3 linked regions of the Diceros bicornis minor genome follow. The protein of the gene in region 2 purifies or fractionates together with the protein of the main gene of each other region. This does not show direct contact. Links are inferred from orthologs where the notes say so. Each region holds a gene or a part of one and is shown on either strand. Other genes may lie near its edges.

The links.
Region 1: the proteins of CAPN1 (region 2) and CAST purify together in Homo sapiens (co-immunoprecipitation; 4 studies listed by BioGRID and IntAct, counting the BioPlex papers as one, with this or other methods). This does not show direct contact. The link is inferred for Diceros bicornis minor from reciprocal best matches to the Homo sapiens genes CAPN1 and CAST.
Region 3: the proteins of CAPN1 (region 2) and CAPNS1 purify together in Homo sapiens (co-immunoprecipitation; 4 studies listed by BioGRID and IntAct, counting the BioPlex papers as one, with this or other methods). This does not show direct contact. The link is inferred for Diceros bicornis minor from reciprocal best matches to the Homo sapiens genes CAPN1 and CAPNS1.

What each region holds. Positions count from the first base shown.
Region 1 is NC_080740.1:22,275,416-22,284,729, forward strand, and holds the start of CAST (calpastatin), read left to right. Parts: upstream 1-5,108; 5' UTR 5,109-5,209; coding exon 5,210-5,284; intron 5,285-5,829; exon of another isoform or gene 5,830-5,920; coding exon of another isoform or gene 5,921-5,950; intron 5,951-9,314.
Region 2 is NC_080770.1:7,974,146-7,984,045, reverse strand, and holds the start of CAPN1 (calpain-1 catalytic subunit), read left to right. Parts: upstream 1-5,760; 5' UTR 5,761-5,991; intron 5,992-6,965; exon of another isoform or gene 6,966-7,067; intron 7,068-7,746; 5' UTR 7,747-7,747; coding exon 7,748-8,014; intron 8,015-8,173; coding exon 8,174-8,243; intron 8,244-8,495; coding exon 8,496-8,614; intron 8,615-9,900. Other genes in the region: SPDYC (speedy protein C), read left to right, coding at 379-520, 791-849, 1,106-1,191, 1,297-1,468, 1,559-2,128. UniProt on the Homo sapiens protein: Calcium-regulated non-lysosomal thiol-protease which catalyzes limited proteolysis of substrates involved in cytoskeletal remodeling and signal transduction. Proteolytically cleaves CTBP1 at 'Asn-375', 'Gly-387' and 'His-409'.
Region 3 is NC_080773.1:8,517,589-8,527,087, reverse strand, and holds the start of CAPNS1 (calpain small subunit 1), read left to right. Parts: upstream 1-4,830; 5' UTR 4,831-4,935; exon of another isoform or gene 4,936-4,946; intron 4,947-4,977; exon of another isoform or gene 4,978-5,148; intron 5,149-5,836; 5' UTR 5,837-5,854; coding exon 5,855-6,042; intron 6,043-6,964; coding exon 6,965-6,998; intron 6,999-7,287; coding exon 7,288-7,377; intron 7,378-7,525; coding exon 7,526-7,583; intron 7,584-7,674; coding exon 7,675-7,739; intron 7,740-9,049; coding exon 9,050-9,118; intron 9,119-9,213; coding exon 9,214-9,292; intron 9,293-9,437; coding exon 9,438-9,499. UniProt on the Homo sapiens protein: Regulatory subunit of the calcium-regulated non-lysosomal thiol-protease which catalyzes limited proteolysis of substrates involved in cytoskeletal remodeling and signal transduction. Essential for embryonic development.

The sequences.
Region 1 (9,314 bases), on a different chromosome or scaffold from region 2:
AAGGCAGGCACTGGGAAGAGCCGGGAATGTTCTGGGATCTGAAAGCAGGAGGGCATGGCTGGAATACAGTGGCGTGAAGGGGCGAGGCTGAAGACAGGACTGCCTGGTCAGATCCTGCAGGTCCTGGCAGGCCATATTAAGGGTCTAAATTTCATCCTGTTAGCACTGAGGAGCCATCAAGGACTGTAAACACTAAAGAGGGATGATTCATACAGTGCTAGTTAGCTGTTGGCCAGCAGATCACACTGAGAACCAAGCTCTTTTCATGAACCCACACCCCAGAGGACGAAAAGTTGTAAACCAAAAGGAAATTAGCAAGGAAAGCAGAAGACAGCTGAAGGCTCTTACAGCTTCCTTGCAAGCCGGAGGTGTCTCATACCTACCTCCTTGCCTGCTGCCAGACCTATAGAGTAATCTTGTTTTGTTTTAATACCACTAGACAAAAACTAGAAAACAAAAATTTTATTTTCCCTTTATTTCTAACCATTCTTAGGAATCAATTTGTAAAATCATTGTTTTTATATACCTTGAGACTAGTATTAACAGCATGGCTGCTCTGTGAAACAAATTGTTCTTCAGTGACCCCTCTTGAAGGCAAAAGTCATTGTAAAAGGGGGAGAAATTTAATTAAATGGGTAATATTTTCAAACCTAATGTTCCGTTATACAGCAATTTAACAGCATGTTTTCACAATATTTATTCCCTCCTCCATTCTCTTTGCAAAGTTTTCTGGTGTTATATAGCATGGAGAAGTGTAATGGATGTGATCAACTACTTGAATCCCCTTCAGCAATAAAAGAGCCATTGCCCGGCTCCTGGGAGTGGCACCAGCAGGAAGCCCTCATCTCTCAGCCCCATTTGAGGGTTGCCACAGCTTAGGGGAGCAAGCTCCCTCCCCTAAAGCCCTACTCCCTGCCCCCCAACCATATGTAAGGATTGGTCGATGCAGGCTTATAAAGGCTCAGCCCTCTCTTGCCGACCTTGGACGTCTCTAAAGTGCATCCCATCTTCATCCTTCCCTACAGGATTATCTGAGGCTTCTAGTGGATCTGCCTCCCAGCTCAGCTTCTCCCTTTGCCCATCCTTCCTTCCCTTCCACAGGTGCTGATCCCAAGAGCACTCCCTAATAAACTCCTGAAAAGGAGATATGATCTCAGTCCTCTTTGGTCCACACAGACAAGAAGCAAGACATTTCGTGATGCTGAAGAACAAGGCCTCAAGGTATTTTGCAGGTGTTTTACTATCTGGAGCACAGATAGTAAGAGAGACATAAAGGATGAGAAATGAAACCTGAGAGCCTAGCCACAGGTATGTGTGTGACTCAAGTTCTTGTTTGGCAGCAGTGAGAATTTAAAACTATTTCATCTGCTGTTTCTTCTCTTCCTTCTCTTCTTCCTCTGTCCCTCCATCCTTCCATCTCCATTCTTTCTTCCTGCCCCCACCCTATCTGCCATCCATGCACAAGCCCAATGTGATCTGAGAAGCACAGTGTCTTAGTCCATTTGGACTGCCTATAACAAAATAACAGAGACTGGGGAGCTTAGAAACAACAGAATGTATTTCTCATGGTCTGGAGGCTGGAAGTCCGAGATCGGAGTGCCCACATGGTTGGGTGAGGGCCCTCTTCAGAGTCGTGGACTTCTCATTGTATCCTCACATGGTGGAAGGGGCAAGGGAGCTCTCTTGGGCATCTTTTATAAGGGCACCAATCCCATTCATGAGAGCTCCGTCCTCATGACCTAATTCACCTCCCAAAGGCCCCACCTACTAATGCCATCACGTTGGGCATTAGGATTTCAACATATGAATTTGTGGGGGACATAAACATTCAGACCATAGCACATGGCAAGGATCCTATGGTCTAAACATATTCTCCACCTGGCTAGCACATCTTCCTCTCCTTTATGCACAGAAATTCACCTCTGAGGCCATTCTTCTGGATATTGCAACAGTCAGAGGCATGAAGCTCCTACTTAGATACATGCATGTTATAAGGGAAAGGAGGCTCTGAGAGCCTTTCCATATTTTGCTAATTAGTCTTTGCCTTTTTTTTTTCTGGTTTACTCAGGAAAACATTACTATGGAGCAGAGCGAATTTGGCCGAGAGTCTCAAGATGGCAGATAGTACAGGTAAGTTTCAGTGGGATTGAAGGCACTTGGTTGTCAGCCAGAAGGCCCAGGTTTTCGTGGGGGAACTTCCCTTCCAGGGGTATGTGGTGGTGCAGAAAGAAATACCATCCAAAGTGGAGAGTACTGCCCAAACTGTGGGTACCTCAGAAAAACTCTGCCTCCTTCCCAATTTTACCCACTGTCTGCATTACCCAAAAAACCTCTCAGCTTTCAGATCAAATGGACACTCTTCATCCGTTGTCTGACCCACCCTTTGAGTGACATTTGACATTGTGGCCCAGCCGCTCCTTTTAGAAGGCCTTCCTCCCTTGGCCTTTGGCACCCACTTCTCTACCTGCTTCCGCCTTCTCAGGTTCCACTGGCTTCTTCTCTGGACTCCATCTTGTCTTTCTTTTTCTCATTTTACACATTTCCTGATGAGAAGTGATGAGTTTCTGAACAGGGACAGCAGTAGTGAAGATGAAGAGAACATAAAATGTGGAGATCACTCAGAGCAGGTTTCATCTCATTCAAGTCAACATGAGGTTTCAACTCACTCAAGTCAACCCTTAAGTCAACATCAGGGGAGGAAGCAGCCCCTGAGCTCCTTCCTCTCCCAGACTGCCCAGCCCTCGGTCAGAATGAGAAGCCCCTCCTCAGGATCCTACAATGCTCTTGGAATACCTCCGCTGGCCACCATCACAGCGTTGTGGATTTATCTGTCTGTCTTTCCTACTGGACTATGAGGTCCTTGAGTGTAGGAGGTCCCTGGTACCTCCACAGAGCCTGACACATAGCAGGCATCCTGTTACTGAGTAAATAAAGGAAAACACAATATGTGCAAGTAAAAATGTAGCAAAAGTTGCCGTATATATTCAAAACAAGCTTTCCCAAGATGCTCAATGCTGATCCTGGTATCAAAGTTCCACATTCCTCACTGACTACAAGAGAAAGCGAAAACATCAGCCTCTTCTTCAACTTCTTTGACGTTCTTCTTGCTCATAGTCATCAATGTACTGTTTGCCCCATAATGTTCTGCTTATATGAGTTCCAGCTCTTGAGCAAAACCTAAGGCAAAGGTCATTATGTCTTATAGATTTTGATATCAACTATATCATGTAGCACAGTGTAGCTGCTTAGAAAATAAGTTGATAAATGTGTTGATTACTCCTGAACTTGGACCAGCAGCTCTAGTCAGCTGGGTGGGCTCCTTTTTATTTCCTGAACTGCCTTCACCCTTTCTTCTTCTGTCCATATCCCACCAGCCAACCAGCCCGCTGAAGCCTCCTTGCCCTTCCTATAATCACCAAACCCCTCAAAACGCCAAACTCCTGAAGCATATTTGTATTAGTCACACGCTCTATGTCACCCAAATGACCCTGTGTTACAAATGCCACATGAGCTAAGCTGTAAGTCCCTGGAGGGCAGGGAATGTGTATTTTTAATCTTTATATTATTGCTCCCTCTACAGTTCCTTTCACAATGCTTGACATGGAAGCCTTTCAAGAGATATAGAACTAACCGGTTTAAGTTCAATTTTAAATACTCCGTTAGAAAATACCTCAGACTTTAATGGGTACCATTCTTCTTCCAGAGTTAGGATAATGTACTCAGGGATCTAGAACCTGAATCTAGGCTCTCTAGGCTCCCAAGTAAGGAAATGGTTCCAGTTCCTGAGCCCTGAGGTGGGGCTGCCTATCTCCTCACCCCCATTGTTTATGTGTTTGTTTAAATCGCTGGTGACAATCATAAAAGCATTTTTTTCAGGCTTATGACGTATTTTCCCCAATTATGAATGTAATTCATGACACCAATCTATTTTCCTTGAATGGACAATGATAAATCCCCTATCCAAGTTGTTTCATGTTTATCTATCAATTCCTGCACTGCAGCCTGTTGGTTGGAAATACTAGATATAAAGATAATAGAACTCTTTAAGAGGCAATACATTTAAATCATCCCTCCCTGCTCCTCCCATTAAGAATGAAGCTAGCCAGTCCATTTAATAAAGGGAAGTCAGAATCCCTAAAAATGATAGTGTAGGAGGAAGCAAGAGTTCCATTCTGCCAAGCTCAATATATCATGACAAATTTTTTCCTATAACCTGTCCTCCCTCTCTCCAATTGTCTAAATCACAACACTGCAGAGAGCAGCCACCCCTAGGCACGCCACTGTAGGGTAACAGGTTTTTTCTGTCGGGTCTGATCACAAATCTGCAGCAACCACAGGCTGACAGAGTTTGTAAAGGAGCGTTTTCTAGTCAGGCTTGTTATATTTCACTTCCAGCCCCAAACCAGGAAGTGCTGTTTAAGATGAGCCAAAGACAAAAGCAATCCAGCTTCAGAAACAAAACCCGCCAGGCTTCAGACAGGCTATAGGGGTTTAAATTGGGGACTGTTCTTGGATTTGGATTGGAACCTACGGCTTCCTACTTACAAGACATGATTAAACTTTCAAAATTGCTCTCCCAAAATCCAAACTAAAATGACAAAAATACACAGGCACGCACACACACACCCACAGACCAATTTGTTTTTGTGATCCGCTTCCTTATCTAGACGGTCCAGGCTTGAGCCAGATTGGAGTTGGTAAATTCTTCCCCTAGCTAAACTAGGGCAGATTGCAGAAAAGGTGTCTAATCTCGAGGTTCTTCGGGAGAAGTGTCGAGGCGTACACCGGCCACGCCCGGGTCCCGCTCTCCCGTTGCGCAACTGCAAGCTAAGTCTGGGCAAGTCGAAGGAGGAACCCTGAGACCTTCAGCCCCTCCTCTCTGTGACCCACGGGGAACCCAGCAGTCCTGGGTGGCGGGGAGGGTCACTGGGGGAGGACTCGGGACCGAGGGTGTTAAGTTTCAGGCAGGGAGCCCGGGACCGCTGCAGCGGGGGCCCCAGCCCGCGGCGGGCAGGAAGGGGAGGACCCAGCGGGGCGAGGGGGAGCCCCGGCGCGGGCTCGGGGCTGGGTCGGAAAAGCTGCCTCACGGGCGCGCCCGCCGGCCCCTCCGGTCCCTCCCTCTTTCCCTCCCTCCCAGCGCTCCCCGCCCGGGCCTCCCTTCCAGTCTCCGCTGCGCCCTCCCGGAGGCAGCGCTCCCCGCGGCCTCGCCATGTCCCAGCCGGGCCAGAAGCCCGCCGCCTCCCCGCGGCCCCGGCGCGCTGCAGCGGCCCGCCACACCCAGGAGGTGAGTGGCGCTCCCGCAGGAGCCGCAGGGCTGAGCGCTGGGAGGACCCCGGCCCGTGGGCCCCTCCTCTAGGCCTAGCCTGCCTGGCCTGCTGCCCTGGGCGCCCCTCCCCAGGCCGAAGAAGGGCCCGGGGCTCAGTGCCTGCGGCCGGGCAGGTGGCTGGAGGTGGCCGGGATTCCCGGGCCAGGGCCAAGCGTGCTGGGCGTGGCGCGAGCTGCATAGGGGGTGGCCCGCGTCGAGAAAAGTTGTTTGGTGAGACGTGAGTGAAACGAGGATGGAGATGAAAGGGGAATAAAGTTCTTCGGGACCCCCAGAGCGGGTAGGGTAGTTTAACTGGACGGCGGGACCCTGCCTTCCGTATACGATCCGGGCTCCAGGGCGTGGCTGCCTGCAGAAATAACACATCTTCCCTAACCAGCCCCGAGCCAAATGGGGCGGGGCGGGGCCAGCCGGCGGGGGCGGGGCCTTCGTCGGGCCCCGCCCAGGCGCCCGCCCACCTGACAGCTGCGGGGCTTGAAGAGCTCAGCGCCGTCCAGGTCCAGACACGCGGAGTGCAAGCCTGGGGCCCCCTGCACAGCGCCCCGCGTCCGTGCTGGGTCCTCTGCCGTGCGACTCAGAGCCAAACCGGTTGTCGCCATGGCATTCGCAAGCTGGTGGTACAAGACGGTAAATAGGAGCGATCGTGCCTGGGCAGGACTGGGAAGGGAATGTGTTTGCCTTTCTGGGAGTGTGGACGAGTTATTGTCCGGGGTTTGGCGGGGTAAGGGTGGGGACCGGGTACGACCTCCTCTCAGACCTTCAGGTGAGCCTCCGGGAGAGGCCGAGACTCACCCAGTCGTGGTATGTGGGAGCGCGCCCGGACGTGCGAGTCGGTGTGAGCAGACGCACCAGGCTCCGGCTCTCACTCTTCAGTTGAATGGAACAGGAATTGTTGCTGGAGGAATTCCGCCCCTGGTCGCGGATTCCTGAATGAACTAGGGCTGAGCTCACAAGAGCTCAGATCTCGTGTTTTTACTTTTTTTAACCCATAAGTAAAGCTCCAAACTTTTAGAGGAACGTTGTTGGACGTGCATTCTCCAACGCAGAGGAGGCAGCCTGGATGGGAGGCAAGGAGAAAACCCAAAACTCCAAGGAGCAGAAGCCAGTGAGATCAAGACCCCAGTTGAGAATGAGAGAGAAAGAGAGAGACAGAGCGAGCGAGCGAGCTGCTCTGTACTTTTGGATAAGGGGTACAGGTGTTCCATTTGTTTACTGCATTGAATGCCTGCCCAACCACTTAGGTGTGATATCCAGTCGAGCTGGCACTGGTAATGTTTTGGAGTCAGTAAGCATGATTTAATGTTAGATTGCTTCCCCCCAAAAAAATACACAAAAGTTTTATTGACAGAGTCAAAATATTTTGTCCCACTGATTTATGTTGAGAATTTAAAAAAATTGGTTAAGTACACCTCTCTCTTTCTCAGAATGTGTTATTGGAAAAAGCAAGGATGTTGTTATCAGACACTTTGGAGAGAAACCTTGTGTTGGAATCAGAAAGCTGTCACTTACCAGTCAATGGCGGTTCACTGAGCATCTGCTATGGGCCAGGCCCAGTACTAGCCCCCAAGTACACGGTGGAGAACAAGTCAGAGTCCTTGTTCTCAAACGGCAGTGAGTCCACCTTTTTGAACCTGTTTCCACATCTATAAAATGGGGGTGATAATAGGCACCACGTAAGAGTTGGTAAGGACTAATTAGATTCATGAATCAAAGTACCATACCCACATACCTTTTGTGATTGGGAATTCCAGCTTCCCTTGAGATATTTCCTCACGAATATTTCCCATTACATTTTCTGGACTTTTAAAATGTAGCTTCTTATTGATATGCTAAAAGCAAAAGTTTGCTTTGAGTCATTATTGTTCTAAGGTTCATATCAAAATGTACCACATGAATGATCTGCAAATATAAATGGCAGTAGTTCAGAGTTGACATCAGACTTCTCCTTCCAAATTCATGGTTCTCTAAAGAAAATTATGCTGGAATATTTGGATGAAAGTAGTTTGTCTGTACTTTTAACCCTGTTATGTTTAGGTGTAGTCTCACATTTTTACTAATACCTCTCATAGAATCCAGTTTTGGCACTATTATAAAAATCGTTTGCTAGTAGGAACCTCCTGGAATCAGCAATATGCCTGTAATCAAGCTTTGACTTTTCCCAAACCAATGCTGTCCGACAGAAATACAGTGTGAGCCACACATGTAATTTTAAATTTTCTGGTAGCTACATTAACAAAAGCAAAAAGAAACAGGTGAAATTAATGCTAATAATATATTTTATTTAACCCACTATATTCCAAACATTATTATTTTAAAATGTAATCAATGTTCAAATCATTGAGATATTTTACATCTTCTTTTTCATATTAATTCTTAGAAATCAGTGTATATTTTGTGCTTACAGGACAACTCAATTCACATTTGCCACATTTCAAGTGCGGTCGATAAGCACAGCTACAGGACTGGACAGGACAGCTCTAGACATGGGTTCCTCTCCATTTTTGATTGGTGGTTGTCGGAGGTGATCACAGACCATTTTGAGAATTAAATGAAAGTTATGGACCATTTTCCCACTACAAAATATGCACATTCATGCACAAAAGCCCACCCATAAATCTGTGGAGCCAATTTATAACATACATACATATGTTATATAACATATGTATGTATGTATTATATATTATATATATACATGCTTCTGGTAAATCCTGTAACTAAAATATCTTATGTGGGATCCTTTAAATACTAAAAAAGATTTTAATAACCTAACTTTAAAATTTTAGGCACAATAAAATAAAATAATTAAAAGATGTATCTAAGGTGTGTTTGTTTAAGGGAGGGCCACCTATACAGCTAGTCTGTGAAACATTGCAATGTACATTTCCACATTGAATACCATCAATATCTTTGATGTTATCTTCTGTAGAATTATGTGGTCATAGTAAAAAAAAAAAACAACTTTGGAAAGCTAAATTTGAAGAACATCTGATGAGCATCATAATGATGAAGCATGAAGGAGAGGAAATTTGGTTTACACCAGTAATCACATTCCTGAGTCATAAGTTGACTTGATTAGACTGTGTTAATTAAAGGTGTTTCTTAGCCTAATTAGACCCATGGGTCCAGTGGCAGAATGATCAAGGAGCCCAGTCATTTGGGAGGCCCCATGGTTGCAGCCAGCCTGAGAATGTCACAAGCCTTCCATGGCAGGACAGACCATTTGTCTTCAATGACTTGTAGGAGTAAGGAATGCAAATTTATAGGGTCTGCAAAGAGGATTTAGGGTGTTGGGAGAATGGAGGTCAGACACAACTTTCCTCTTTTGGTTGGCAGTTTCTGAATTGGTTTGCTTCCCGTTGCAGGTAAGACTTTTAAACTAGGAGTAACATCTGATGATACTGTTCTTTAATCAGTTTTGACACTTCCCAGAAAGTTAAATATATTCTACAAGTGCTTTTTAAAGAATGATGTAGCTTGCTGGGAATGGAAACAGTGGGTGGTCATTTGAGATTCCAAGGTCAATGGGGGGGTAATTAGTTCTAAGTAGGTTGTCTCAGTGGAATACAAGACTTCTCTAAGAAGCCCATCTTTATTCTATTTTTTCCTAGAGGTTTTTTTTAATGATTATTATTGTGGTAAAATATACATAAAATTTACCCTCTTAACCGTTTTTTAAGCGTAAATTTCAGTGGAATTAAGTACATTCGTATTCTTATGCAACCGTCACCACCATCTATCTCCAGAAGTCTTTTTGTCTTGCAAAACTAAAACTCTGTACACGTGAAACAATAAATCCCATCCAGTTTACATACATACATTCTAATACATAGCATTGTATGCAAGCATTTGTGTTCCTTACCATTTTGTTTTTTTGTAAGGAAGATCAGCCCTGAGCTAACATCCATGCCAATCCTCCTGTTTTGCTGAGGAAGATTGGCCCTGGGCTAACATCTGTGCCCATCTTTCCTCCACTTTATATGGGATGCTGCCA
Region 2 (9,900 bases):
CCAGGATGAAGAAAGATAATGCCCTTAAAGCATTTAGCACAGCTCCAGGCACTTAGGAGGCCCTCAGCGGTGCCTGCTGCTGCGGTTCTCGCTCTCTGGCCTTGCCTGGGGTGCCAGGAAGAGGGTGGGGTGCTGCAGCCTCCAAAAACTCTGCTTCTTTTCTGGCTCCCCACCCCACCCGAATCCCAGTTTCCTTCTGTTCCCAGCCCCCACGTCTCCACCCCCGTCCCTCCACCTTCTGGAGGTCCTCTGTCAGGCCAGCCCTGTCAATCCTCTTGACTTGTGGGGTCGAGGGGGTAGCTGCTGAGTCCTGGGGCTGCTTTCTCTACAGGTCACCCTGCCCCACCCCACCCCGCCTGCCCCCCAGCCCCCTATGAGATGAGTGACACCCAAGACCCTGCCACTGCCCCTGCGGTTGCCACCCAGGTAAAGCTGGGGGGCTGGAGCCGTCAAGGCGTGGGCAGTGGGTCTCTCCGTTCCCCCCAGCACCAGGAGCTCCAGGCCTTCCTCAGCCTTCTGGGTGAGTCCATGAGGGGGCTGGCACGGGAGGGGCTGTGGGGACCAAATGTGAAACGGATGTGAGTGGTGGAATCTTAACCCTCCCGTGCAAGCGCCTGAAGTCTCCGTCTCTTCCCTTCTCAGGAGACCCCGGTTTTGGGCGGGGCGGGGGGGGGGGTTGTGTCAGAAAGCGAGTTCTGTGGAGGCTTGACCTTTGAAACTTCTGATGCCACTCTTGTCTTGTGGGGGCGGGTGGTGACCCCAGTCCACCATTCCTCCTCTCTACCCCCAGAGCACAGTTTCCTCCAGGAATTCCTCTCCAAAGATCCCTGTTTCCAGATTTCGGATAAGGTGAGGGGGCACAGTGGGGGTAGAGGCGGGGGTCACTGGGGAAGGTTGAATTAGTGGGGCTTGAGTGCTGCTCATTCATTGGCTCCCCTGGGCTGGTGGAGGGAGCGCCTCCCTTTTAAACCCTTGTCTTTCAGGCCCCTCCCCACCATGTTACTGAGGTTTTTCTAACCCCCACCAGAACTTCCTTGGGTGCACACAGGCTGGTGCAGCCCCCCACCCAGGGCCTCCCTAACCTCTCCGTGTCCCATCTTTGCAGTACCTCCTGGCTATGGTGCTGGTCTACTTCCAGCGTGCCAACCTGAAGCTCTGCGAGTACACCCACAGCAACCTGTTCTTAGCTCTGTGAGTGGCCCCAGTGGGTGGTGGAGACGCTTGGAGCTGTAGGATGGGTCAGGGCAGATGCTTCTTATGGCAGATGCTTATTATGGCCCCCGCCTCTGCGGCCAGGTACCTTGCAAATGACATGGAGGAGGATCTGGAGGACCCCAAATGTGTGATTTTTCCATGGGCCCTGGGCAAAGATTGGCGTCGTCGCATGTCAGACTTTCTGCACCAGAGGGACAAGCTGTGGGCACGGATGGGCTTCCGGGCCGTCGTGAGCCGCCAGTGCTGTGAGGAGGTGAGGACCAGCCAGCCAGCTGGCATCCTGGGGTCGGGGAAAGAGGCTGGACCTCCCATCCCCATTTACCATCCACTCTACTCATGCCAGGTCATGGCCAAGGAGCCGTCCCACTGGGCCTGGACTCGGGATCGGCGCCCCCACCACGGCAGGGCTCAGAGGAGCTGTCCAAAGGCCCAGGTTCCCCTCCCCCGAGGCCCCGGCCTCTCGCCACCCCACTGTTCCCTCTGTGGCTTGCCCCCTCACCGCAGCCACTGCTGCCACTACCCCTGCCCCTTGCCTGTCTTATCCAAGTGCCCTTCCCCAGACCCCGAGTGGCATCGTGCTGCCTGCCAAGCCTGTGTCTCAGTGCCTGAAGACCCCTGGGGTGGGGGCTTCCTCATCGTCCTGCCGCTCCGGCTGCAGCTGGAGCCAGGCACCTATACCCTCCACCGTGAGTTGGGGACAGGAGCTGAGGGTGGCCTTGGGAGCCCAGGAGGCGGGTATGGGGCCCAACAGAATGAGAAGGAGGGGCACGGGGCCTGGGGTCCAGCAGGCCTGGGCACCATCCCAGCTCTGCCACCTCCTGGCTGGGTGAGCTTGACAAGTTTCCTCTCTGAGCTGCTCTCTGTCCTTCTCCCCCTAGTTTTCCCAAAGCCTCGGCAGTGCCCTGGGCGCTGACACTCACTTGCAGGGTGAACAGCAGCCTGCTGGCTTGCCCGCTGACCCAGCGCTCTACTGGCTGCGCCCCTGTGGCCTCCTGTCTATGGACCTCAGGCTGGCAGTGCTGCCCCTGCCCCCTGCCCCCTCCTCCCAACTTGCAACTGTACCCACTCTGACCGGGGTCCCCTCTAATAAACTCGTGTCCACAGGACACCAACTGTGCTCAGGCCCCAGCCTGGCTCCTTGACCCAGGGTGGGAGTGGGAAGGGAGTTGGGGGGAGAGGGGGATCTGCCAGGTTGAGGTGCCAGTTGTTGAGACCCATGAGCACAGGCTCTGGAACAGATCTTCCCCTTCCCATTGGTGGCCAGTCGTCCTGAGCCTCAGTTTCCCCTCTGTGACATCACCTATGGATGATGAGATCTACACAGTGTAGAGGGGATTGAAGGGGACAAGGTGTGTGTGTAGTCCTTAGAAGAGGGCCTGGAACCTAACCTATTGGACTAAAAAGCTCAAATGGAAACAGCTCTATAGTCAGTCTAGAAATGCCTGCAGGGCCCGGGCTGTTTAGAAATAAGACTTAGTCCTTGCCCTGGGCTGCAATCAAACATAATGTAATTATTATAATACAACCCCCCACAAAAGTAAATTTGTTAATGAGGGAGCATGGAAGGCTTTCCAGAGGGTGGCATTTGAACTGGGCCTGAACAATGTCAATTTTGCCCATGGGGGGGCAAGGGGGAAGTTGTGAGGAAGGATATTTTTGGAAAGACAGTCTAGACTAGTGACTAAGACTTAGTCTCTGGTGCCAGACAGCTTAAGTTCACATTCCAGGTTCCTGTGTGATCTTGGTGTGTAATTTAATCTCCTCCATTGCCGCATCTGTGAAATGGGTCTATACTAAAATGGGTGTTATGAGATTTGAATGAGTTAATCCCTAGAAGAGTTTAGAACAGTGCTGCTGGAATAGAGCTCAGTGAACCAGGGTGTAGAGGGAACTGCTGCCTAGAGGGGAGGGTGTGTTGGGGAGAGGTAGAAGGAAGACGGAGAAGGCTGGAGAAGTAGCTACAAGGGTCAGATGGCAGAGGAATCCCCTGCATACTCAACGAGTGGCTCCCAAGGAGCGAGGTGGTAAGAAAGCCTGGAGATTGCGGACATTAGAAGCCAAGACAAGGGCTAGGAAGTATTTTTAATTTGTTTTTCAAATAGGTAATATCTTCACATGTACATTTTGCATTTTGAACTGAGTCACCTCCTACCCCTGACTCCTGGCCACCTGGTTCCCCTCCCTGGAAGCAGTGAAAGTAACAATTTATGTCCTTCCAGAGAAAGAATCTAAACATACATAACCAAATGTGGTGTAATAAAATATATATATATATTTGGTCTTTGTTCCTGGTTTCTGGCACAGAGCTCTTAAAACCCTTGGAATCTCCTAAGTGATAGGAGTGTCTTTTGTTATTCATGATGAGCCCCTTTCAGCCACATCTGAGTTTCTGCTAATGAGGTGACTCAGGGTAGGGCCCCTACAGGGCTTCAAGGTGGGGGCTGGTCACCAGTAAAACCAATCTAGTGGGTGCAGAACTTTGAGCTCCCCCACCACCTCCGGGGAGGGGAGAGGAAAGGGGCGGGGCTGGAGATTCAGAGCGTTTCTGGGTTGGTGAACAGAGATATGCTGGGAGGGTGGCTCCCCGGAGAGGGCACTCCGCCCCCCCCCGCCCCCCTTGCCCTATGCATCTCTGCTATATGGCTGATCCTGAATTGCATCCTTTATCCTAAACTGGTAATAGTAAATAGAGCACTTTCCTGAGTTCTGTGAGCCTTCTACCAAATTATCAAACCTGAGGAGGGAGTCATGAGCACCCCCAAATTTGTAGTTGGCCAGACAGGAGTGTGGGTCACCTGGGGGTCCCATTTGTGGCTGGTGTCTTGTGGGACTGAGCCATTAACCTAGGGGTCTGGGAATTAGTGTCAAAACTGAATTGAATTTTAGGCACCTAATTGGTGTTGGAAAGTTGGAGAATTGATGTAGAAAAATCACCTGTATTTGGTATCTGGGAAAAAACACATTTGGTGTGAGAAGTGGTGTCAGAAAAAAGACCACACCAGATATGTATATATGTCCCATCTCCTTTTTTCAAAACTGAAATGGAAGAATTCCATGCATCCTGTTGTGTGCTTAACATATTTTGAAGATGGTTCCTTATGCATACATTCCTTTTGACAGCTGTATAGTATTCCTCTTTATGGATGTACCACAATGTAACTTGTTCCTTCTGATGACATTTAAGTTTCTAGACTTCTGCTATTCCAAACAGTGCCACAGAGTGTCACTAAGACCTTGTAAGGAAATCATTATGCAAATGTGGAAAGATATCTGTAGAATGAATGCCTAGAAGAATTGCTCAGCCAAAAGCCAAGTGAGAATTGTCATTTTGATGATTTTTGCCAAATGTCTGTCTATAGAGGCTATGTCCATACCACACCCCCTCCCCCCAGAAGTGCATGTAAAGGTGCTTTTATCAGTGAGGTACCAGAATTTTTATCTTTGTCAAATTGATAAGTAGAAAATAGTGTCTTGGTGAAGTTTTAATTTGTTTTTCTTTTGGATGAACTTAAGCATTGTTTCATGTTTAAGAGCCGTTTGTCTTCTTTTCTGTGAACTGTACTTGTCTTTGCCTGTTTCCCTACCGTTTTTGGTTTCTGATTGACATATAAGGGTTTGAAGGAATAAAAAGCCCTTCAAGATGTAAATTGTAAGTATTTGCTTCAGTTTATCATTTTGACTTTGCTGGATAGGCTTTTTAATGTAAGAAGATAAATTTTTTGTGGCTTCTGGGTTTTGTGTCATAGTATAAAAGACCTTTTCCACACTGAGATGACTAAAAAATCTTCTCCCTCAGCTCCTGGCTGTATTTTTGGTTTCATTTTTTACATTTAACTCTTGAGTTCATCTGGAATTTATTATATACAAAATTCCCTCCTATTTTCCTAATGCCTTTTATTGAAAAACTCATCTTTTTGCAACAAATTCGAAACTCTATTTATATTATATACTAAATTTTTGTATGCATTTGGACCTATTTCTAGATTTTTCTATCTTCCAATGATCTATGTCTGTTTCTTTAATTATTACATTTAATTATTATAGATCTGTCTTTGCTACCTCTCCAGAGCATCTTCCCTCCCCCAGGCCCCTGCTCCCTGTGATCCAGTCACAAGAAACACTTGGCAGTTCCCCTCATTGGTGTATTCCCCCAGCCTCTGGATCTTTGCTCATGCTGTTCTTTCTCCTAGGCACACCCTCACCAGCACCTCATTGCCTAGTTAACTCCTACTTGTCCAACAGGACTCAACTTCCTTAATCCCCAAAATTGGACCAGGAGAGCCCCCTCTCTGCCAGCAGGGGCTGGTCTGCCTTACTCATGGGTCTCTGCTGTTCAAAGACCTGCCAGAAGGGTTAGTCAAGATTGGACACATAAATGCTGAATGGTGAGGAGCAAAGGGCTCACGCGCTGGTTCCAGCCCTGACTCGCCAGGTGAGGGAGCTGAGCAAGTCCTCTGTTTTCCGCATCTATTAACTGGGAGTGAGAATGGCGTCAGATCAGATCAGTGGCTCTTAACCTTCTTGGGGTCGCGGGCCCTAAAATCCTAGGAGAGCCATGCACTGTTTCCAGCAAAATGCTAGTGTATACATCCTGTAAGAGCTGCAGCAGCTGCTGGCCGCGGCCCCCAGGCTCGGTGAAAAGACCTGAGCAGGAGGACCGCCGCAGCCCCCCTCTCCGATTCCTGGCTCTCCAGCTCCTTGCAGTCGCGGAGGCAGGATCTCCGGGTCCTGGGTGGGCCTGCCGTCCTGCTCGAAGCCTCTGCCGCCCCCTCCTGGGTAAGGCGGCACAGGGTGCTCCCAGTGGGTGGGCCGAGGCCTTGGGGAGAGGGCAGGGATGGCCACCTCTCGCAGTTTCCCGGTTCAAGAGACCCCAGAGCGCGAGAGAAAGATGGGCTCCCACAGTCGCTCATCTCCATCCTACTCGCTGCGTGAACCGGCAAACCGAGGCCGAGAGAGGCAGGGACTCAGCCAGGGTCACGCGGCCAGCCTCGGCCTGGGGGACTGATCCCCGCGCCCCGCCCGGCGCACGGAGCCGCCAAGGCCGAGTGGCGCGCCCCGAGCGTGCGCCCCAGGGCGCGGGAGTGGGAGGGGGAGCCGGCCCTGCCCAGGAGCCAGGAGGGCTGCGGCGAGGCCCCGGCGGGTGCGGCTGCCGTTCGCCCAGCGACCGGCAGAGATCCGCTCGCCGCCAGCCCTGCCGGCCCTCCGAGCAGCTGCCGCAGCCCGAGGTAATCTCGGCCCCGCGCTGGCGCTGCGCTGGCGGGGGCGGAGGGTGGGGACAGCTGCGGCCCCGCGGAGGAGGGCCCGGGGGACGGGCCGGGGGCTGCAGGAGGCGGCGCCGCCGCGGACAGAGCGCCGGGGAATGCCCTCCGGGGGCGCCGCGTGGGGTGGGGCCGCCCGGCCCTGCAACTCGAGCTGCTGCCCCTGGTTAAAAATACCCCTGCCCTGCCCTGCCCCTCCCCCGCGGTGCCCTTCCGTCCCGGCCCCAGGCCTCCCACCCCGACAGGCGCTGGCCCCTCCCCGGGGACGACTCTGCCTTTTACTAATTTGTCCTCTCCTGGAGTTGCCCACGGGCCTGCGGAGGGAGGGGCGGGGAGACACCGAGAGTAAGACAGAGAGCCAGAGAAGGTGCCCGAGAGATAAAGGAGAGCCGAGAGGAAGCAGGGTAGCAGCCCGAGGAGGAGGAGGAGGACGGAAGGAGGGAGGGGGGAGGGAGGGGGGAGGGAGGGGGGAGGGCGGAGGGGCCCGAGGAGGGCGGGGAGGAGCGCTCTTCCTGGTTGGGCCCTGCCCTGAGCTGCCACCAAGGAAGCCAGCCGCAGGGACAGCAGCGACCCTCCCAGACACTCCTCCCCCAGGTAAGGAGCTGGGTGGCCGGGCCAGGATTCTCCGACTCCGGCCACTGGTCCGGGGCTGAGGGGCTGCCCCGTCCCCCTGCCCTCTGAGTGCCTGGGACAGGGACAGGGGCGGGGGTTCGGGAAGCCGCACAGCCCAGGCACCCGCCCCAGCCTGCGCTCAGCACTGTCTCCAGGGGCTGGGCTGGGGGAAGGCCGGAGGGGAAGGCTCTGAGGCCCTGGTCACCTCGTCTGTCTCCGAGGCTTGGGGAGGGGGATCCTGACTGCCTGGAGTTCTCAGTCCCCAAGCCAGGAAAAGGGGCCAGCGTGTAGGATCTTGGCTAGTTTGGGGAGGGGTTACAGGCAGCAGGCAAACAAGGTCAGACGCCTTCCCTGGGGTCTCTACTTTCCCGGTTCCCTGTGTTATTATCTCGGGGCTCCGCCCTGCTCCACCTGCCTAGCTGGCTGACCACAGGACTGCAGGCCCAGGACAATGGGAGTGTTGGAGAGGAGAGGTGGTGGCATTGTGTGGGGGTAGGGAGGTGGTGGCCAGCACATCTGGGGGCTGGGGAACTCCTCTCCTGGATTCTGGGAGCCTAGGGAGGTGGGCAGGTTTGGGGAGGAAGTGTGGGCAGAGACAGGCAGGAGCCCCAATTCTAGTCTGGGAAGGCCTGTGTTCTGAGCAGGCGCATCTGCCCTGCAGGATGGCTGAGGAGATCATCACTCCGGTATACTGCACTGGGGTGTCTGCACAAGTGCAGAAGCTTCGGGCCAAGGAGCTGGGCCTGGGCAGCCATGAAAACGCCATCAAGTACCTGGGCCAGAATTATGAGCAGCTGCAGACTCAATGCCTGCAGAAGGGGGTCCTCTTTCGTGATGAGGCTTTCCCCCCAGTGCCCCAGAGCTTGGGCTATAAGGACCTGGGCCCCAACTCCTCCAAAACCTATGGCATCAAGTGGAAGCGTCCCACGGTGAGAGGGGCCACCCGGGGTGGGACTCAGTTTACCCTTGATCCTGGGTGAGGACTGGGTCCGAGACTCCAGGTCTTAGTGGGCAGTGGGGTCTGGGGTGGCTGGGTTTCAGTGTCTGGGAGGGGCCAGCCCAGAGACAGGACTCTAGGTCTCTTGCAGGAGCTGTTCTCAAACCCCCAGTTCATCGTGGATGGAGCCACCCGCACAGACATCTGCCAGGGAGCCCTGGGTAGGCCCTGGGGGATTCTGAATGTTTTTTCCTTAGTAGCTCCCCATGCCCATTCCTTCCAGCTCTGCCCAAGCCCCTCCCTCCTGCAAGCTCAGACAGGCTCTGGCTGTCAGTGCTGGGGCTGGTTTGCCCAGATTCCTGGGTCTTTTCTGTAAGTCGAGGGAACCTCAGTTTCTCCCCAGCATGGGCACTCATGTGCACCACTGGGGGCAGATCGTAGAGCAGGCCTGACATGGGTCCCTCCCATCCCAGGGGACTGCTGGCTCCTGGCTGCCATCGCCTCCCTCACCCTCAATGACACCCTCCTGCACCGGGTGGTTCCTCACGGCCAAAGCTTCCAGAATGGCTATGCCGGCATCTTCCATTTCCAGGTAAGGGGCGCCGCACCCACCTGGGGCCAGGGGGTGGGGGACAGAGGGGTACAAGCACTGGAGGAGGTGAGGACTGATGAGGCACAGCAGTCTGAACTTAGGGTGACTCAGGGCCACACCCTGCGGGGGCCACCCTCCTATAAGGTATTTGACCTCTCCTTGCCTCTTGGATCTGTCATGTGTGAAATGGTTGGGCAGGTATTTCTCTGCTGGCAGATTTCCCGGGTCGTTGTGCGGATGCAGGAGAAAGTGCTTGGAAGAGTAGAAAGATCTCTGTTGTATCCTGTGGGACAAATCCTTTTCCTCCCCAGGTTCTGTTTCCCCCATCTGAAAAAGAAGGAGTGTTCTGCTGGGGAAAACAGACCAGCACATGTGGCATCTCCACCCTTGGCATCAGTCTCCCCCTCGCCCCCCACCCCTAAGTCCTCCTGTGCTTGGGCAACCTCCAGCCTCTGACAGAGCCCTGCAGAAAAGAAAGACTTGCGATTAAGTCTATTTAAACAAGCTTTTCCTGACCTTATTTGCGCACAGCGCCCATTTTTGAAGTCACACTAATGAATTCTCAGTGAGCTGGTGTTTTGGGAGAGACACACCCCCAGGAACCTGAGATGAGCCCCTCTGGCCCCGGTGGCCCCAGCCCTGCCCCCGGGACTCCTGGGTGTCCTCTCCTTCAGCCTAGGCAGGCAGCCGTTTACCCTGCTCCATCCTCACCCGCCTTAGGGCGGAGGAGACGGCCTACAGGACCCACAGGACCACTGGGCGGCCTTTGGCCAAGTGCCCCACCTGCCCGCGCTGGCCCGCGGGGGTGTGGCCTCTCCGCCCTTTCCCCGCCCCCTTCCCGCACTCCTCCAATCCGCTCCTCCCTGGTTTCTGATTGGCCCGCTCAACACTCCCCCACAACCCGCGCTACTTGGGCCCATCTCCTCCCTTTAGCCCATTGTTCTGCACCATCTCTGCCCCCCGCCCCACCCCACCCCCCAGCAGCACTTGGTCGCTTCTGGCTTCAGGCGCCCGACTCCTCCCACCCTGGGCAGTCGACCCATCACAGCATCTCTGAAGCAAACCCCATGATTGCGGGAACTCCGCCCGCCCATTTTGTAGGTTTTGTTCCACACCTGATTTACATATGTATCCCCCCCACCCCGACCCCCTCCACACACTCACCCTGGCCTAGAATGGGGAGAAGAGAGGTAGGGGGCTGGTTCCCCATACCTGGGGAGACATCTTGGTCTGTTTCAGAAATACCGATAGCGCTGTCCTAAAAGCTGTGCTTTTGTGATCTTCTT
Region 3 (9,499 bases), on a different chromosome or scaffold from region 2:
TCCAGAGGGTTGTGAGAGGCCTTGCAGGACATGCCTGTAATGCAGTCACCCCAGCCTGGTCCCATCAAGCCCTGGGGCGGCATTAGCTAGGGTAGTTATGACTATTGCAAGTTTATTAATTGGTGGCATTGTGAAATTAACATCATTGAAGCAACAAATTGTGAGGATTAAAAGCGTGAGCTACAAAGCTAGCCTTCCTGGTTTGAATCTTGACTCTGACACTTATGATGGGGTTCAGGGCAGGCCGCCCCAAGATGTGCTACTCTGGATGTGGATTATTTCGAGCTGAAGACAATAAAGGCTCAGAAGACTCAGAAAGAAACTTTGACCTCCACCAGCAACTAACTGCCTAAAAGAATTTAAGATAGAAGGCCTGTTCCCAGGACATGCCATCACCATAGATAACTCTGGGTATGGATAGACTGGGAGGGTCCTTGCTAAGCCCATTCTTATCAAAGCTCTGAAAACCAAGTAAAAGTAGAAGTGACCCTTTGTAAGAGACATTTACATTTATAAGGGAAATCTCCATTTGTAAATGTGTCTTTCTCTCTGTACGGGGAAGAAGGGGGGATGACCTTATCTCTAGAAACTCTTATCAGTGAGGAAGGCAAGGACTTAAATCTGCATATTAACCTTACTCTTGTTTACTGTGCTTTTCTGGTAATCTCCCATAGCTGACTCCCCCACCCCCAACATCCTCCTTAGTCTCTAGCTGAAGATGGTGTTTAAGATGAGAACCTCTGCCATTTTGTCGAGTTACCCAGTTATTCCTGGGTCTCTCCCATGTATACATGTTATAAGGCTTTGTTTAATTTTCTCCTGTTAATCTGTCTCATGTAAATTTAATTCATAGCCCAGCCAGAAAGGATCCAGAGTGGGTAGAGGATGGTCTTCCTCCCCTTCACTTACAAGCTGTGCAATCTTAGAGAAGTAATCCCATCTCTCTGGTTACCTCAAGGGCCTGATAACAACTTCTACCTGCATCAGTCAGAATACGTTAGGTTATGCTGAGGTAACAAATGAGCCCTAGACTTTAGTGGACGAACATCTCAAAATTTATTTCTTGCTCATAGAAATAGGCAGATGTCCTCCACGCCATGGCTCAGCAATCCAGCCAGCTTCCTTTGTGTGGCACCTCTGTGCTTGCATAGCACCCAAGGCTGCCTGGGCAGCAGATGAAAGCATGGAGCATCCTGCACTGGCTTTTAAATGCTACTACTGGGAAGTGACACACCCAACACTTCCATTCACATTTTATTGGCCAAAGCAAGTCACATAACCATGCCTGAGTTCAAGGAGCCTGGAAGATGGTAGAAGACTTTAGTAATGTTTGCTGTACTATCTTATTGATGGTGCTGAAAATTCAATGGGAAAACCCACACAAAACATTGCATTCAACAAATATTGAGTACCTCAGATGTGACAGGCACTGGTTTAGGAACTGGGTACGTAGCAGTGAAAAAGAGAGACAGAAATCCTTGCCATCAAGGAGCTCACATTCTAGTGGGGGGACAGACAAGAAACTGAAGAAATAAGCAAACTCTGCAGTATGTCAACAGGTGATAATGGTAATGTTACCACACCAAAGTGGGTCTGCTTCTCGGTGAGTTGAAATCAGAGCCTTCACCAGAAGTAGTTGTCACACAAAGTAAAATTTGTTTGCCGCAAATAGAGACCACAGGGAATCGTTTCCAAAGCTGTGGCTCCCTGAGCACAGGGAAGCAGGAGACTTTTATGTCGGATGCGGAATGAATACTCAAAAGGGAGAGGTCGGCATTCGCTTGCGAAGTCTCAGTTGGAAAACACGCTTCCACGTACATCACATGTTATGGTAGTGAGGCCTTAGCTCCTCCTGGGGTGGAGATCTTAGCATTAAAATGAGGCAAAGGTCTTCTCTTGGGCACTTCTCGCCCATCTATGCAGGTGTCTCTTGTGGTGGGGTTTGGACTGGTTCAGGGCGGTTGGTGATTGTCTTAACATAACAAAAGAGAAAAAACAATTTGGAGAAACAGTTAAATGCTTCTGAAACCTCCCTTGAGTTCCTTGGGACAACTAGTGGGTGACAGTAAGAGCAGCGTGGGGGTGGGACGGGGAGTGTGGGGTGGGACGGAGATCTGAGAGGACCTTCCTGAGATGATGAGATGTGGAGACTTGAGGCACAAAGGCAGGGCTCGGAAGGGCCTTGGGGCTGGAGTGGCGGCCTCCCGTGTGCCGCAGGAGAGGGCTGTTGGATATGGCTGTGCTGGCAGAGCCTTCTCGTCTGCGTCTGGTCTGTGTTCAGCTGGAATATCCAGGTCAAGCTGCCAGTACAGCTTCTTCTCCTTTCTTACGAGGGAGGAGATGAGGGCAGAGAGGTGCCAGGACAGGTCACTAGGGACTTAGTGGCCGTGGTGAGACTTCGAGTCTTATAGTGGTGAGGTGCAGCCAGGGAGGGCTCAACCAGGAGGGTCCCGACCTGACTCAGGTGTTCACAGGCTCCCTCTGGCTGCATTTGGGGAAAGGACGGTGAGGGCAGGCACGGGAGCTGCAATAATGGTCCAGGCCGGAGAGGACGGAGGCAGGGCCAGGTTGGGGGCAGTGGCTGGGGAGAAGAGCTTAGTTTTTGTAGGTAGAGTCAACAAGGTGTGCTGACAGGTTGGAATGGGTGTGAAAGAGAAGTCAAGGACGACTCTGGGGTGTTTGGTCTCAGTCACTGGAAGGACCAAGGTGCCATTAACCTAGACAGGGAAGGTGGAGAGGGAGCAAGTTTGGGAGGAAGGTCAGGAGCTCAGTTTAGGATGTGTGAAGCTTGAGACACCGCTAAGACCCTTATGGAGATGGAGAGTAAGATGCAGAATGTAGGAGCCTGGAGATGGAAATTTCTGGGCTGAAGATAGAAATTTGGGTGTTGATAGCCTAGAGATGGAATTTAAGCCATGTATGTGGGGGAGATCCCTATGGCATGAGTGGGACAGAGAGAAGGACCAAGGCCTACGACTTGGAGCTGGCCGGGATTAAGAGTCAGGAAGACAGACCTAGATGACAATATGATTCAACTGGCAATGAGTGCTCTGAGAAAATACAGGTCACAAACAGGTACCCGCAAGCCTCTTCTAGTCTCAGGAGGCGACAGGGAGGGCTTCCTAAGGAGGTGACTCCTGAGCTGACACCCAAAGCCTTAGTAGCTACAAAACCAGGTGAAAAAGGCAGAAGGAATGTTCCAGGTAGAGGGCACAGCCCATGCAAAGGCCTGGCAGGCAGTGAGCCCCAGAGAGGGCAGAGAACAGAGGCTGCTCAGTCTGGCAGGGAGGGGTGTGGGGAGAAGGGAATCCAGATTAGTCATCACCACAAGTATTGGCATCAGCCAAGCCCAGTTTCATACCTGGTCCTGCCACCCTCTGTGACCTCAGGCAAGTTACCCTGCCTTCAGAGCCTCCATTTTCTCTTGTTAGTTCCTGCCTCATAGACAAGGTTTGTGTAGCAGTTCCATGGCCTGGCCCCAAGCCCTCAAGAAGCACAGCTGCAATTTTGTCTGTTGTGATCTTCTTGTTTGAGCTATTATCATATTAAAATATTTCTATCATTGAGGAGTCAATGCATTAGGGTAGTGGGTAAGGGTACAGGCTAGGGAATTTAACCTCAGAGTCAGTTTATTTATTTGTAAAATGGAGATAATATATAGCATCCATCCCCTAGGACTGTTATGAGGACATATGGGCTGATATGTGTAAAGTCTTAGGAGCATGCTTGGCAGTTATTTTTATCAGTATTATCTAAGGATGAGCAAGAGTCAACCCCCTGAGGAATCCAGGTGGGCTCCAGGAGGAGGGAATAGCATGAGTACAGACACAGAGGATAATAGCTATTATTTACTAAGCGTTTATGACTTAAATATGGTAGGGGCAGCGGGGTGGGGAGCATGGGACCCTTGTTCCCATTTTACAGATTAGAAAATCGTTGCTCGAGTCACTGTTTGGGATCCCACAGTTATTAAGGGGCAGAGCCCAGGATCCAAACTCAAGTTCAGCCAGCCTCGAGGCAAGAGCCTGGGAGACAGACTTAGTTCCCTCTGAGGAGCCCTGAAAAAGTAGCGGGTGCGCACGGGTTGGAGGCTGGAAGCCGAGAGCAAGCGAAAGGCCTCCAAAGGCTACTTCAGTCGCCCTCCTCCCCGCCCCCCCAACCTGACCTCAGGGACATCCAGCCTCAGAAATCAGGCCGTGGCCAGCGGACTCTTCCTGTGTCCGGGCACCTCTTTAGAGACTGGAAGACTGAGGCGACACTTGGGCCGGTCCGGGCAAAACGATCCTGGTGACCCTGACTCGGGGTCCAGGCGAGTGCGGGTGGAGGAGGCACAGGTGGTTTCGTGGGCGGCGAAGTCCCGCCCTCGGCTGGACCGCCACCCAGGCTGCCGCAGGGTCCGGGGAATCTAGTCTAGCCTGACTCCCTACCGCAGACGCGGGCGCTGATCCCCGGGCCTCCAGACGCTGTTTGTCGCCACAAGGCTAGGATAGGGCCTGAGTGCCAAGAGTCCTCAGTCCCTTTTCAAGCCGACTGAAAACCGCATCGGTGGCCGGGTGGAGGCTGGCTTCGGGGCGAAAAATCACACTACAACCCCAGGGGATCACCTCGGCTCTCTCGTCCCCGGGCGCCCTCACCTGGCCGGGAGAGTCGTAGGCACCTCAGACCTATTAAGTCAAGGCGGGGTTGGAACCCGGGACGGTGGAAACGTGTAGGGCGGAGCCGCGGCGGCCGCATCCCGTTACGAAGGCGGGGCCGCCGTGCGCAGGCGCAGTTCCAGCGCCGGCTCTAGGACCGCGCGGATACCCGCTGGGCCCCCAGCAGTGCCGGATCCGGTGCCCGCGGCCTGAGTCACGGGTCCCGCCCTACCGAGTCGGGCGCAGCCGGAGGCCCGGGAGCAGCGCAGGCGAGCGGACCGGCGGACCTGTGAGCGAGGCGGTGAGCGCCCGGTGCGGAATCCCTCTGTACTCCGTAATCCCAGCCCTGGCGGCCCCCAGCCCCGAGGAGACCCTAAAGTCCCGGTCTCAGGGGTCCCCCAGACCCATGATCTCAGATGCGAACCCCCAGACCTGTCCGGCCCCAGTTATCCCGCCCCAGGGATTCCTCCACTTTCCGTCTCCGGATCTAAAATACGAGCCATGGATTTGAGAGGTAAATCTGCTCGTAAAATCTGCCCTGGGTAGGCCTCCAGAACCACGGTCCGAGATCCGTGCTCCCAGTTGTAATGGTGACTCCGTTATCCCGGGCCCCGGGGCTCACACCCACAATCTTAGACATGACCCCACGGACCCGGCGGTGACACTGTAATCCTGCTGCTGGGAGAACCTAAGCCCCCAAGCCACATTCTGGGTTTCCTAAACCCTGCCCCGGGGGCCTCCAGGTGGAGAGTCTCTGATCCGCGCCCCTGATCCGCCCAAGACCCCTAAAGTCCAGTTCTGGGGCTCTGGATTTCAGATTCGAGCGCCCAAACAAGTCAAGGATGCCTAACACCAACCTGGGGCCCCCATCTTGAGAACACCCCCAGACTGGACGGTTCGGGTGCTTAATGATGCCTATGCGTAAACTCAGTCCAGGGCCCCCCAAACCAGACGGGGACCTTTTGGACCGGAGTGGGTTTCAAATCTGATCCTCCGTCCGTCTCCTACCCACCCGACAACTGCCCTCCCGCTGAAGCCCAGACCCCACCCCGAATGGACCCTCAAGCCCCGGCCCGAGGATAGGTCCCCACCCGGAGGCCTCATATTATTCCCCCACGTCCAGCTGCCAGAAATGGGTATTTTTGTGGGGAGGGGGCGGGCTCAGGGGCGAGGCGGCCACCTGACCCTTTTTTCCCCCTCAGGGATCCTGAGTCGCAGCCATGTTCCTGGTTAACTCGTTCCTGAAGGGCGGCGGCGGCGGCGGGGGAGGCGGGGGCCTGGGCGGGGGCCTGGGGAATGTGCTCGGAGGCCTGATCAGCGGCGGCGGCGGCGGCGGCGGCGGCGGCGGCGGCGGCGGCGGTGGCGGAACTGCCATGCGCATCCTGGGCGGGGTCATTAGCGCCATCAGGTAAGGCGGGGCCTGGGGAGGGGCGGGGCCTGGCGGAGGAGGCATGGCCAGCACGAATAGAGTGGGGTAACCTGGCGACTGACCTGGAACCTTCATTAGGCTGGGCCGGGGCTGGGCTGGGAGACTGGCCTTGAGGGGCAGACCGTAATGAGGCCGATGGCAGTTCAGGGGGCGGGGCTTGACCTGGGCGCTGTCTGACCGTTGAGGGGACGCCATCAGATGGGACCCGGGAGGTGGGGCTTCATGGGCTGGGCGCCGCCTGCTTTCAGTAACTTGGAGACGAACGTTAAGGGGGCGGAGCCAACGAGACTGGGTATCCCTTCCCGGGGGCGAGGCTTGTTTTGTGGGCTCGGCCTGGCCGCACTAGGTGGATCAATGAGGAGGTGGACCCAGAAGAGGCCGAAGCCTAATGGGATAGGGGAAGTGGCCTTGGGCTGGGCCTGGCCGGGCACTGGCTGGATAGAAAGATGCCCTGGTGGAGGGAGGAGAGGTTGTCGATAGGGGCCTCGTTAGCCTTGGCCACTGAGCAGTGATCCCTCAAGGGGCGAGAACCCGTGGAGCTGGGGTGGGATGTTGGAAGACACAGGCTTTCCGTTCAGGAAGCCATGGCGATGGAGCAGGTTCCTAGACAGGTGGGACCCAGGGAGCTGGGGCCTTCAAGGGCTGGGTCTGTTGAGGAGTCTGCCGTTGGGTAGGTGTGCCCTGGGAGGAGAGCAGCCAGCATGGGGGCGGGCCTGTGGGTTTCCTCGCTGCGCAACCAGGGCAGCAAGGATAGGGACAGGTGAGGGCAAGGACAGATGAGGCAGGCGGAGGGAGCAGGTAGGCAGGGTGGCGAGCTGGGGATTGGGGGGTTGGGCGTGGGGGCTGTCACTGCCCGCTGGAGGCCCCGCCCCCTGGCGCTAACTCCCCCGTTTCCCTGCAGCGAGGCGGCTGCGCAGTACAACCCAGAGCCCCCGGTAAGCCACCCCTCGCAACGGGAGACCCCTCTTCTCACTCTGAGACCTTTTCCAGCACCATCCTTGTCCCTTTGGACAGACCCCACCTCCTCTCCCTCTTTTCCTCCCATTAAGTCTCTCCCTTCTCATGTCTTCAACTTAGCTAGACCCACTCCCTGTCACTGACCACCTCTCCTTCCTTTGATCACTCAGCCCCCCCCCCCCCACTCTGACTTTGCCACACCTAGGGCTGTCCTGGCCAGGGCCCCCTCCCCCTCCCTGCTATGAGATCTCCTCCCTCTGTCTGCAGCCCCCACGCACCCATTTCTCCAACATCGAGGCCAATGAGAGCGAGGAGGTCCGGCAGTTCCGGAGGCTCTTTGCCCAGCTGGCTGGAGATGTAAGTAACGCGGGGCCCCCAGACCTGTCCTAACCCTTCCGTGCTTTCCCTTGGGCCGCCCTTGGACACACACACTCCATCGTGGCAGTCCCAAAGTTCCCATCCTCCTTCCTGACATGCTCAGACCCACCCCTAACTTCTCCCACAGGACATGGAGGTCAGCCCCACAGAACTCATGAACATTCTCAACAAGGTCGTGACCCGACGTGAGTGACTGGGGTCAAGGGAAGGTTTAGAGGCATGGTGGCTGGGGTAGCCATGATCTCTTGCCTCTGACCTTCAACCTGTCCCTCACAGACCCTGATCTGAAGACTGATGGTTTTGGCATTGACACATGTCGCAGCATGGTGGCCGTAATGGATGTATCCTTGGGGGCAGTCGGTGGGGGGGGGGCCTGGGTGAAGAGGGAATTTTCTGAGAGCATGATTGGGGCAGCCAGGGTGTAGCTTTCATACTTGCAGAGGTGGACATGCATACATCAGAACACACGCCCACTCATGGACATGTGGCTGTGAATAGTAACATCAGCTGTCATAGCTGGCACCTCACTTACTGTAATTCACAGCCACCCTGTTAGATGGCACAATTATTACACTCCCTTAAAGTTGAAGAAACGACTCAGAGAGAGGCTAACATCTGTCTGAAGTTATAAATAAAGAATAGTGGCAGGATAGGAATTTGGACACAAGTCTTGAGAACCCAGGCTTATAACTGCCACAGGTATGCCCACGTGCACACATACACATGTATCCAAGGGCACACCCACATACATAAAAGACATGAAGCCATGTGCACAGGGACCAGTCAGTAGCTGATCTTGGGTACTCGCACACTCAGCCCACAGGGCAGTGCAGACACATGCGTATGCACATGTCATGTGATCACACGCGTGTGTTGCATAGGGTTAAACAATTCTGGCTCTGCCCCTTAACAAGGTTGCTGAGCCTCTCTGTCCCTCAGTTTGCCTATCTGTAAAATGGGGTGGATGATGATGGTGATACTGAATTGGAGCTACATGCAAAAGTTTTAGCACAGTGCCTAGGAGCACATAGTAAGTGGTCTGTATGCATTAGCTGTTACTATGATCTTACTCAGGTAGAGTTTTCAGCTCCGAATCTGTTTCTTTCTCTGTCACTGAGGAATAATAGTGGTGGGGCTGGTGTCTTGAGGATTTAGGGAGAAGTGTTCCTGAGACGCTTAGCACTGTCTGGCGTGTCCTAGGTAACTTGATAAGTCCTGGCCCATTGTTGCTGTTTATTGAGAATTTATCAGACGTCCCCCCCGAGCTAAGGGCTTTATATTAATATCTCATTCAGTTCCTACCACAAACCCAGCGGGTAGAGTTCTAAGATACCCTCGTTTTGTCCATGTCCTCACATTTATGAAATTGAGGAATTAGCAACTATTTTCAGGTGAGGAATTTGTAGTTTGGAGAAGTTCAATATAATTCCCCATGGTTATGTTTAGAGACAGTCCTTTTTTAGGAATATAAACTAAACTATGTATGGCTAAAAACAAAAATAAAGGCACAGGCCAGGTGACATGACCAGGGTGGGGAGCTGGGGGTAGCCCAGGTTCCCCTGCTTGGCCGTTACCCTCGTCATGGACACAGTGTGTATAGTGCATGCGTCCGGGCACCGTCATTACACTCGTCTTAACACCCTCCCACCAGAGCGACACGACAGGCAAGCTGGGCTTCGAGGAGTTCAAGTACTTGTGGAACAACATCAAAAAGTGGCAGGTGCGTGGCGACCTCAGACTCCTAGCACAAAGACCCCCAAGCCGTGGAGATGCCCCATGATGTTCAGGTGAACCCTGACCTCCCTTTCCCCACAGGCCATATACAAACAGTTTGACGTTGACCGTTCGGGGACCATCGGCAGCAGTGAACTCCCACGGGCCTTTCAGGCAGCAGGTGTGGCTGGGAGGGACTTGGTGGGGCTGCGGGTGGGAGTGGCGAGGCAGCCCCCACTGAGCTGGTCTGAGCCTGAATCCTGGCAGGGGGGCTGAGAGGGTTGGGCCACGTGGCTCTCACACCTGAGAGACGAAACCATTCTCAGGGTTCCACCTGAACGAGCATCTCTACAACATGATCATCCGACGCTACTCAGATGAGGGAGGG